Coturnix japonica: one gene and its partners. The protein of the gene in region 3 purifies or fractionates together with the protein of the main gene of each other region. This does not show direct contact. Links are inferred from orthologs where the notes say so. Each region holds a gene or a part of one and is shown on either strand. Other genes may lie near its edges. The genes, in order: cyclic AMP-dependent transcription factor ATF-7, COP1 and FOSL2.

Region 1 (3,647 bases), on a different chromosome or scaffold from region 3:
TGGAAAAACAAAGTTTTTAACCCGTTTTGCAAACCAGGATGCTGGGTTTGGGAAACCTCCCCCTTGCCCTGAGGTTCAGTAACACCCAGCATTGTGGCTGGGCAGCTGCACACCTGAGGCTGAGCTGGTGATGGAGCGTCGGGGTGTTGGATGAGGATCTGGCTCTGCTCCGGGCGCGCGGTCACCATGGTGCTGGCTGAGCCCACCACCAGGCTGCTGCCGTTCAGGGAGGAAGACGCCGTCAAACTGGCCTTCAGCCTCTGAAAGAGGAGAACAAGGGACATCGGTCACCCCTTCCCCAACCTGCTGAGGCTTCATGCAGCTCCTCTCCCACCCAGGGAACCAGCTGACTGAGAAGTGACAGTGGTCGATCCAAAGCCAAGCGAAGACACTTTGGGCTCACCCCAAAGCGACTGATCCACCGCCCAGTGGGACCACACGGGGATGGGAAAGGGCTGGAGGATGGAGACCCATCTCCCCCTCCGGGCAATGGGGCAGGATGGCTCCTATCTCACCCCATGTGCAGCTCTGCCTGTCAGCCCCACAGACACCTGACTGATGGGAGCGATGGCAGCGTGGAATGGCAGGAGGTAGATCTGTAAGCCCCCGTTCTGACTGAAAACCAATGGGGTTTTGCTGCCTTTTGTTCTACAATGGAAGCCTTTAGCTGAAGGCTCTGCACAAAACCCATTACCCAGCTCGTCGGATTGCAGCGCAGCATCCCTGCTCTTGGCTCTGCCTTCCCCAAACCCACCTCCAGCCCATCTGTTACCTTGGAACTACGAGCAGCAGCTCCGTGCGACTCTGGGCTGAGCTTTGTCCCACCAGCACCGAGTGCAGCCCCACCAACACCTGATCCCAGCACAAACCTGACCCGTATCGCAGCTGCTCATTGCAAAAGTCATTGAGGGGGGGACGGTGCAGACGGAACACTCACCATTTTGGCTTCTGAGTGCACAGGGAGACCCGATGGGGAAACGGAGCCGCTGCTGCTGATGGGAGGCCCGGGGATGCCGGGAATGTTGGGCACGATGGACACGGGCCGTGCCAGCTGATGGGGAGGAAGCGAAGCAGCGTTAGGAGCCAACGAGCTGCGCAATAATTCCCCGACCGAGCGCATTTATCAGCCCCGACACAGCTCGGTGTTTAACTGCTGCCATCCATCAGCGCTGCTGTCAGCCCAGGGCAGCAGCCTCCCCTTTGGTGGCCACGGTTGCTGGTGAAGGATTGCCCGGCTGCAGCAGCCCCACACCTCCCTCCTCTCCCCATCCCTGGGTGGGAATGGAACGCTCTGATTACCGAGGGTGCATGGAAGCGTCAGGTCCTGCAAAGCAAAGAGATCTCTGCCCTCAGCAAGGGGAAAACTGAACCTGCACTTGCGTTAGCACGCCGCTCAGGTCCGCTGTTGCAAAGCACTGCAGCCCCAAAGCTGTGCCTGCAGGCAGCAGCACCGTGCAGGGATCTGCGTGCCCACGAGCTGCCTGCACTGACACAGATTTGGCTTTGATTTGCTCCAAAGCCAGAACACGCAGCAGGATCCGTGCATGGGGGGTAGGGGGGTGCTGGGGCTCTTGATGGGGCTCAGAGCTGCTCCTGAGCTCTGCACTGTGGGCAGTTCCAAAGCAAACAGCCCGACATGCGAGGAGAACATTTGCGCTGCGCTCCGTGGAGGCTTTGCTGGCCTGCAAAGAGCAACACGTTCTCTGCAAGCTCGGCTGGTTCCGCCTGCAGCACGTTGCTCCAAATGGGGGCGGTTTAGCAGCAGCTCCTGCAGCTCCCAGCCCCATCCGCGGCGTGACCATCTGTCTGGGCACGGCTTTGTTTCTCCTCCAGACTGATTGCCCTCTAGTGCGATCTCCCCGTCATTACTGCCTTGCCAGAGCTGCTCCCCCCATCCAAGCCCACCCTCCCCTCCTGCTCAAGCCTTGTTGGCGCAGGGGGGGGGATGCGTTTTAATTTCTACTGCATGGAAGTGCTTTGGCAGGGGGAAAAGCGCCGTCCCTCCATCCCTCCCTCCCTCCCTCCACCTTGCAGAGCTGTGCTGTATTTCCCTTACCGATATCACAGACGGCATCTGCATGGGGGGGCCGGGCAGGACAGGCATGGTCTGCCCGTTTGGCAGCTGCACGACGAGTGGAAGGGAACCAGTGGGCGACCTGCAAACACAGACCCAGGGTTTGAGGGTTATTTGGGGCCAACATTGGGAGCAAGAACAAACTGCAGGCTCTTCCCTTTCCAAAGGGCACATTGGGGGTGTAGGGGGTGGGGGATGGAGCCTCATTGCTACAAATGAAAACAACCAAGGGCTTTTTCCATTGCAGATGAACGGGCTCGCACAGCCCTGCCTCCATTTCGCTCCATCTCGCTCCATTTCAGAGCGCTGCACTCAGGCTCTGACCGACCTGCATAGGGAAAGGGGGGAGAAAATGGAGCAATGGATGGGGAGAGGAAGGAAAACATCACTGGAGCAACTCGTGCTCGGTGCAGCTGGGAGCAGGATGGTGTGCAGAGCAGCTGGGAGCAGAGCAGAGCTGCAGGGAGGGGAGGAAAAACGCTGCCCCCTCCTCCAAGTCCAGCACAAGGGATGGATGGGGGATGGATGGAGCCAGCACGGAGAGACGGCGGGGTGGGGGGAGCGGGGTCAGAGCGGGGGGCTCTGCGTGCCCATAACTCAGGCTGGAATTTTTAAGGCTGCCCTGGGAACGCCAACGCTCGGCTCTCATTCATTTCTATTGGGCATCCCAAATCCTCCAGGCTGCTTTGAAAATCCCAGGCTAACAAGGCGAGCTGTGGGGAGGTCACAGCCCTCCCCTCCATCTCTGTCTCGCTCACAACCCCCCCGCGGCCGCTGCGGCCCCACTATGGCTGCAGCCAAACCCCTCCCATGGAGCAAGGGGAGGGATCTGGCCCTGAGATCTGCAGAGGACACAAAACCCCATTGAAGCCCAGATTGCTCCAGTTTGATTTGCTCATGTCTCCATGTGAGGGGGGGACTCTGTGCCAAACAGCCCAGGTTACAGGCAGAATAGAGGCAGAACAGGGGCAGAATAGGGGCAGGACAGGGACAGGATAGGGTCAGGATAGAGGCAGAATAGAGGCAGGATAGGGGCTGAATAGGGGCAGGATAGGGGCAGAATAGGGGCAGAACAGGGGCAGGATAGAGGCAGGATAGGGGCAGGATAGGGGCAGGGTAGGGGCTGAATAGGGGCAGAATAGGGGCAGAATAGGGGCAGGATAGGGGCAGGATAGGGGCTGAATAGGGGCTGAATAGGGGCAGAACACAGGCATCTCCCGAGGGCTGCAGCCAGCAGTGAGCATCGTGCTGATGGATCTCAGGGCAAAAAGGAGCAGTTGATTGCTGTGCAAAACCAAACAGCTCCTGAGGCAGATGCTGAGTGTGCTGAGGGCAGGGGGCTGCAGAAGGGGCCCTTTAAATGGCCCCAAAGCCATTAAAGACACAGACAGCTTCCTATGGACAGCTTCGCTCAGCTCTCTGCTCTGCACCAGGCTGCAAAGGCAGCTTGAGAGTCCCATCGGTGTAAATGAAGGCTGTGCCCATGGAAAGCAGCTCTAACAGAGAAGGACCTGGGGGTTCCAGGGGCAACAAGGGTGACAGGAGCCAAAAGCGTGTCCTGGTTCACCTATGG
Region 2 (3,647 bases), on a different chromosome or scaffold from region 3:
TATATCTTATCAACTCTCTGTTAAAGAGAGCAGAGTTCTCCAAGTCCAGTGTATTAAATGCTAAGGAGTTACAGCAATGCAAACCAGGCACCTTTGCATTCTGTTGGTTCATACCATCCTTTTTTTAAGAAAACCTCAAGCTAAACTGCACACAAGGGAACTAAACTTCAGGTCAATCCCACGTTCCACTTTTAAATATACTTGAAATATCCCTTAAAAATACCACCGGGTTGCTTTTGGGTTGTTTCTCTATTTTTTGGTTATTGGGTTTTTTGTTTCCTTGTTTGGAGGGGTGAGTTGATGAGGATTACCTACTGATAAGTCATTTTTGCTTTGTATTTAAATGCACTTGTGTCAACAGCAGCAGCTAAGCAGTAAGACTTCTCTTTTTGACTTTTATTTCATTGATGCTTCTGACCTACTAATTTGGCTGAAGAGCAGTGGTGAACAACTGAACATGTTGGCCAGCAAATAGTACATATAAACTCTCGATTAACCAGTTCAAACTTGGAAGGAACTGTCTGGATAGCCAGAAGCAAACTGGAGTTGCAGTGGAAGCACATTTGGCAGCATTGTTTTTACCAAGGCACTTAAGGACACACTCAAACGCAAAATGTCTTAAGTCAGCCCACACACTGAAACCCCTAAACATCCCTTAAATGCTTTGATAAAACGAAAGGCTTAAGCAAGGGAGAAACACAAAGGTGGAAGCCACACTCTTGGGGGCTTAAATGTGTTGCAAATTAGGTAACTACAGATTCTAGCACTAGCTTGGATGGAGGCCCCACTCTATCTTCATTTTTAACAACAGTAAAATACCATTCAAATGTATATTTCACCCAAGAATTATAATACCTTCAAAACCGGAGCGAGATTTACTGCCCTTCCAGTATTTTCTAACCAAATACCACAAAAATGCTGTTCTTGCAGAATGTCAAGGAGAAGAAAGGGCAAAGGAGAAAAATCCAATCCATGCTGAAGTTGGTAGCTGAGGAAGTTTGTCTACGTTGCAGTGAGATTCCCATCTGCATTTCATTGCAGCCAGCACGAACCCAATCAGCACAGGTTAAATACACGTCAGATCAGTGATTATTGTGTTCTGACCTCTGTGACTAAGTCGGACATTATACATTCCTGCTACATATTGCAGCAGTTAAGGGATCAATGCTGCTTTAAAAGAAAATATGTATTTTATGCTACACATGCCTTGGCTTCTCCACATAACACATTTCTTGTGGTCTTTCAAGAAACAGTCAAGCTGTTCTGTCACTGTCTGGATGGCTCTGTCATACAGCACTAGACCAAGGCTCAAAGTCTGAGTTCAATTCATCATGCCATTGTAGCATTACTTTCAAGACCCCAGGTATGGCCACTTTGGAATTCACGCTCCCTACCTACAAATTAGGGATGATGCTACTTCTACAAATGCATTTAAATCTGTTAAATGTGTCCCTAAGAATCTTGTGTGTATTGCACGTATGCCATACAGGGAAAAAAAAATCCCAATTAGCACATTGCATCATCTTTCCCAACACCACCAACAGCTCTAACCAAGTTACCACAGACTAATTAAATCCCCCAGGGAATGCTTCCGCAGCTGCTGAAGTCAGTTTAAAGTATGGCCTGCTGGCAGGTCGCAGCTTTTCCCTATCCCGTGTGCTTTCTCAGGCTTGATCCCTAAGGGAGCTTGGTTCGTGGCATGAAACTAGAAGAAACTGATTCTGTTGAAAGACATTTCACAGAATCACAGAATTGTAGGGGTTGGAAGAGACCTCTAGAGATCATCGAGTCCAACCCCCCTGCCAAAGCAGGCTCCCTACACCAGCTCATATGTCTAAACAAGTCCATTGCAAGCTCAGACCTTAGTGGTGCAGAAGACATGATCATCCCACGTGGCAGAAGGGTGCAGAGTTGTTGTTGGCACAAAGAGAATTATTATGCTGATTTTACCACAACCACCCCCTCACCAGTTTAAGCACGGCAGAAAGAGCTTCCAACACTTAGCAGAGGTCAAGCAATCGCAGTCACCAACAACTTAGCTATTTAATATTTGCCATTACAACTGGCTCCACAAACAAGATTTAATAACACCACAGATTCCTAACATTACCAGCATCAGGAAAAATGGCTTAAACTGCTAGATCTCCATTATTTTTAATGCAACTGTACCATGAAGAGGATCGAGCCTACAACAAAACCTTCATGTCTTACTAGAAAGGCTTCTCAAAGATTCCACACTTGGTTCTAATCTATATCAGCTGGCAGAAAAGGTACTACTGTGACTCTTAAGCACATTCACAGACCGATGATAACCACATGTTCATCACAAAATTATTTTGGTGTAGCCAAAGTGTTACACATGTATTAAACAAATTATGATCTGTACAAGCAATGAGCTCTGCCTCAGCAGCCTGTATCACCACGAAATGCACTGCTAGAGCCACCAAATTTCTCACCTGGAGACTATGCTGGAGCCATTGTAGAGGTCACTAGCATAGGACAGCGTTGCCAGGGGCCGGACAGAATTGTAGCGTGTGAACTTGGATAGACACTCCTGAAACTCATCCAGCTGGCTTGTGGTTCTGCTGTCATCTAGGGAGAGGTGGAAGAGTTGCAGAGGGTGAAAAATGAATAAGAAAGTAAATAAACACAACGGCAAACATGATGCGTGTCTTCATGTGTTACCACCTCTGCTTGCTATTTGGGGAGGATTCTTGGTCAAAAATAGGTTCTCTCTTTCATCTTTTTGGCATTCCCTCAAGGCAGCAGGATTTTCAGAGCATAAATTAAGTCCTTCCAATGAACCTACTGCATTGAGAATCTGCCTAGAGATCATAAATACGCTTTCCTGATAGATGAGCTCACTTATTTTAGTCAAATTCAAAGCCTACGGGCCATAAGGTTTATTAACAGAAAAGCCTTAAGCACATCAAATTGCACTGTAAAGAATGTCTAGCATTCTATGGAAGTGAAAAATATATTCCTTTCCCCCAGAACTGTACTTCAGGTACAATATGCCTACATTTGGTGTCAATTACACTCAAAAAACTTGTAGCAAGAAGTATTTCTCTTGTTACTCCAAAAGCAACAGAGCTGAGGGAGAGCTGTTTCACGGCTAGAGAAAGGAGACAAGCATGAAACCAACAGACTCCATGTGCTGTAAGTTTTGTGAAATTATGACCTTCAGCAGACAAGATGAAATTCAGCCAGCGTGAATAATAATGATGAATATTCTGTGGAAAATGGAACAGTTCGCTACAAACGTTAAAAGTAAATTACAGTACAGAGGGCTAAAAATGATTCCCCGAAACCTCACGAGTCTTAACTTTCTTCGGTACTAAAGGAATTTTATTTCAACCATTTCAAAATTTAGAGTTTCCTATATAAGGAAGAATTCCTAACTTACAGCCATGTCTCATGGACGAGCCAGCTTTCCTAATGTGATCAAGCAACGGCAGTCAAACATCAGGCAGAGCCCTCAGGCTTTGTAGCAACCCCCAGAATCTGCAGCAATTCCCCCTTGCCTTCCTTGCAGCTCTGACATGCAGCACCCTGGATTGCAGGTAGTCCAGTATGCAAGTCACATTACTGAATACTTTGCCTTTTATTAAACCACAGCACCCACTGCAGCAGCAGAAAGGTACACA
Region 3 (3,647 bases):
CATTCACTGTGTCTGTGTCACAGGTAATGAGCTCTGCCCTTGCCAATGAGCCCTTGGGCTCCTCTTGGTCCCCCCTCACCAGCTCCCAGGCATCCCCTTCCCAACAAGGCAATTGTGCATGTTTCCCACAGCCCATCCCAAGAAAGATCCTTTAGAGTTCAGAACAACTGGATGAAATGTCATAGGATCGACAACACTGGAAATTATAGGCAGAGAAAGAGAGGGGAGGAAAGAAGAAGTTGTAAGGTAACTAACCAGAAAGATCTAAGCACAGAGCATAACTGATCAGATCAATTCACAAAGCAAAGGGATGGCTAGCAACTGTCTGCAGCTCGCCTTCAGTCCTGGCCAGCAGTGCTCTCCAAGTCCACTATGGTGCCAAGATGAGGTTTCCACCGGCAGACCCTACAGAGGAGAAACTGCCCTCTCCACAATCAGTCCTGGTGCATCAGTCCCACCCTTGCCGTTTCCTGCCTCCAGAGAGCTGGCGTTGGCCCTCACTCTCTTTCCTGGAGCTGCAGCATTTCCCCATTCTTGTTCTTGCTGCCCTTGTGCTTGAACGATCCTGTGCCTGTCTCTAATCCCATGGAGGGGTCTCCCCATGGAGCTGGGCAGGGGATGTAACACACTGGCAATGGGGGGCCTCAGGGGATTACAATGCCAGCAAGGTGGGAGAGTTCAAGGAATCCGAGGACTGGTCGCCGCTGCTGCTGCTCCTCCGGTGAGCTTTGGAGCAGGACTCAGACGGGGAGAGAGGAGACTCCTGATCCAAGACGTTGGGGTAAGTGAACACCAAGTTGGAGGAACCAGGAGTGATGGCTGGTGTTGAGGTCACCACGATGGGAGTGTTGAGTGCCTCCTCCCCATAATAACCTCCAGCAATGCTGATGGGCTTAATGACAGACCTCTGAGCTTTGTCAAGGACCAAGGAGGAAGATGGGATCTCTTCCTCCACGGGCTCCTGCTTCACCACCACTGCTCCGCTCGCTCCAGTCCGAACGCTCTGGAGGCTGCTGGTTGGTGGGCTCCGACGTTCCTCGGGGCTGATTTTACACACAGGGCTGTGAGCAACCAGCATGAACTCTAGTTTTTCCTTCTCCTTCTGGAGCTCAGCAATCTCTTTTTGAAGGACTGACTTTTCCTCCTCCAGCACCTCAGTTTCCTGCAGACAAAAAGGGAATAAGTAAGTATCTGAGGTTCTAGCACTGCTCCTGACCGAGAACATGGCCATCAAGTCCAGCTTCCAGCTGGTGTGGGCAGATACACCCCAGCCTCTTCATGAGCTGAGCAAGCACCAGGTGTTTGCTAGTTCAGCGTTATGCACTTCCTGTGTTTACCTAGAGGCTATTTCCAAACTTCACTAATCTAAGGGAAATAAATAGTCTTCTCATGAGCCCACCTTTGTTATATCATGGACAGTTACTACAACTCTTGGGGAAATATAGCCCTTGCTACCTACATGAGAGACATCTTAGCAGGGAGGACTCAGATCCTCTACCACTGGGTTCTGTATTAAGGTTAAGTCATGTTCTTTTCATTTCCTAGATATAGATAGTATAAAGCTATCTCTCAGCTGTTTTCATTTTCTTTCTGTATCTCATACCCTAGATGAGGCCTTGCCTGTGACTTGTGCAAAAGATTAACAATTTCACCTCCACTGGATTATCCCTTGATGCATCCCAGGATTACTCCATTTACCTTTCCCCTGATCACGTAACACTGATGGCTCATAGTCAATCTGCGAGCAATTAGTATTTTCCTGTGTGAGGAGCTTGCAGAAGTACTCACCCTCAATTTGTCAGGATATGACCTCCCAGTTTGTACTCCTCTCACTTAATATTAGTTTAGTCATGAGAATCCTTACATTCTTCCTATAAACTGTCCAGCTTCCCCTGCACTGAGAATACCTCCCAGATTTGAGTCAGCAGCACATTTCACCGATGTGCTTTCACAGCAGGGAGATGCACGTTGGTCAGCAGGCTCTATGAGAAAAGACCTCCTAGGATGTTTTGGGCAGCCAGCGAAAAGAAATTAGGCTGCTGAGCCCTCACCACTGCTGACACAGGAGCAACGCCACTGGGCAGCCCTGGAGGGGGAAGGCAGCATGCATTTTACAGCATCTGCCCCAGATAGGTTGGTAGAGAAAGAACAACACCCTGCAAGCTGGTCCAAAGGGCAGGCAGCAAGGAGGGAGAAATGCATGCAGAGCACGTACCGCCTGGAGTTTCTCTGTTAGCTCTCGGCGCCTGTTACGACATTTAGCAGCTGCCAGCTTGTTCCTCTCTCTCCGGATCCTTCGCTTCTCTTCTTCCTCGGGCGACAGCTATGGGCAAGTGCCAAGAAAACCCACAATCAGATCTGAGCAAGGCATTCCTTGAAGTTTGTGAGGATTTAACCGCAGCGCAAAGAAAAGAAGGCCTGATCCAGCAGGATGCTCAGCACTCCCCCTCTCCACTGATGTCAGCAGAAGATGAAAGCGCCCAGTATCTCTGCGAGCACCAGGTCTTAGCAGAAGGGTGAGGAGAAGGCAGAGTGGGGAGCAGCGGGGGGAGATTGTGTAAGAGGACAGTGAATCTGCAACAAGGCCCAACAGATAAAAGATGCTCTGATTGTTTCACAACTTGGGTGGTACATTAAGCAAAACCAGAGTGTGATGTTGTAAGCGCCTCTTTCTTGAAAGAAAATATCTGCTGCTTCCCACACAAAAATAGTTGTTAACTTGAAGGTCGGGGATGGGGTAGGGGGAGAGGGAGATCAGCAGAGCTCTCATGATGTCTGTGAAGCAACAATTATTTATACCATCCCAAAATCTGACCTCAGATTTTCAAGCACTTGGAGCGATAACAGACTGCTTTTCACATCAGCAGGCAAGGCTCCAGTGATACCAAGGGCTTCCTGAGGCCAGCTGACATCCCCACTGATGTAAGTCAGGAGCGATTCCATAGAAACCCAGAGTTACACTCTTGCGACACCAGAGGAAGCGAGCAGGAGCCCACAGGATCTGGTGAGGTCAGGCCTAGCTTTGGGGATTTGAGATGAGCTCTTATAAACCCCAGCAGTGGCAACCAGAGCACCCACACCACGTCCTGCTCTGCCTAAGTCTGACCTTACACTGGCATTACTGCGACCGAGCCCAGAACCAAGATGAGTGCTCTGCAGGGCACTTGTTGGCAAGGGACAGGAAAAGAAACAAAAAAAAAAAAAAAAAAAAAAAAAAAAAAAAAAAAAAAAAAAAAAAAAAAAAAAAAAAAAAAAAAAAAAAAAAAAAAAGAAAAAAAAAAGAAAACCCTCTTCTCATAGAAGCTTTCAGTTTTAGTATCTTCAGAGATGTTAAAACTGCAAACGAGATTGTCTTCCTGCTGCCTTTTAGCGTTAGTTTTATTCTAACCTCATTTTGGTTTGTTTTGGTTTAGTTCATTTCCCTAATTTTGATCTCCGCAGTTTCAGGGAGTTTACTTCAGCCGCTGGGCATTCCCCTCTCTCTGTTCTGCTTTTTGCAGGCTCCTCTGCACCGTGGCAACAATTTCACCAGCAGGCAGCGCACCTCTGGGCACACGCTAAGGGACAGAGAAGCTTCTGGTGCTAGCTGGGACTCTGCAATGAGGACTTGGGGCCTGAGAGCTCCTCTACCTGCAGGTAACAATGCC

The links.
Region 1: the proteins of FOSL2 (region 3) and cyclic AMP-dependent transcription factor ATF-7 purify together in Homo sapiens (affinity purification with mass spectrometry; 3 studies listed by BioGRID and IntAct, counting the BioPlex papers as one, with this or other methods). This does not show direct contact. The link is inferred for Coturnix japonica from reciprocal best matches to the Homo sapiens genes FOSL2 and ATF7.
Region 2: the proteins of FOSL2 (region 3) and COP1 purify together in Homo sapiens (affinity purification with mass spectrometry; 3 studies listed by BioGRID and IntAct, counting the BioPlex papers as one, with this or other methods). This does not show direct contact. The link is inferred for Coturnix japonica from reciprocal best matches to the Homo sapiens genes FOSL2 and COP1.

What each region holds. Positions count from the first base shown.
Region 1 is NW_015439867.1:313,287-316,933, reverse strand, and holds part of cyclic AMP-dependent transcription factor ATF-7, read right to left. Parts: intron 2,157-3,647; coding exon 2,057-2,156; intron 1,052-2,056; coding exon 938-1,051; intron 261-937; coding exon 114-260; intron 1-113. UniProt on the Homo sapiens protein: Stress-responsive chromatin regulator that plays a role in various biological processes including innate immunological memory, adipocyte differentiation or telomerase regulation.
Region 2 is NC_029523.1:4,925,475-4,929,121, forward strand, and holds part of COP1 (E3 ubiquitin-protein ligase COP1), read right to left. Parts: intron 2,593-3,647; coding exon 2,457-2,592; intron 1-2,456. UniProt on the Homo sapiens protein: E3 ubiquitin-protein ligase that mediates ubiquitination and subsequent proteasomal degradation of target proteins.
Region 3 is NC_029518.1:24,459,915-24,463,561, forward strand, and holds part of FOSL2 (fos-related antigen 2), read right to left. Parts: intron 2,324-3,647; coding exon 2,216-2,323; intron 1,163-2,215; coding exon 653-1,162; 3' UTR 1-652.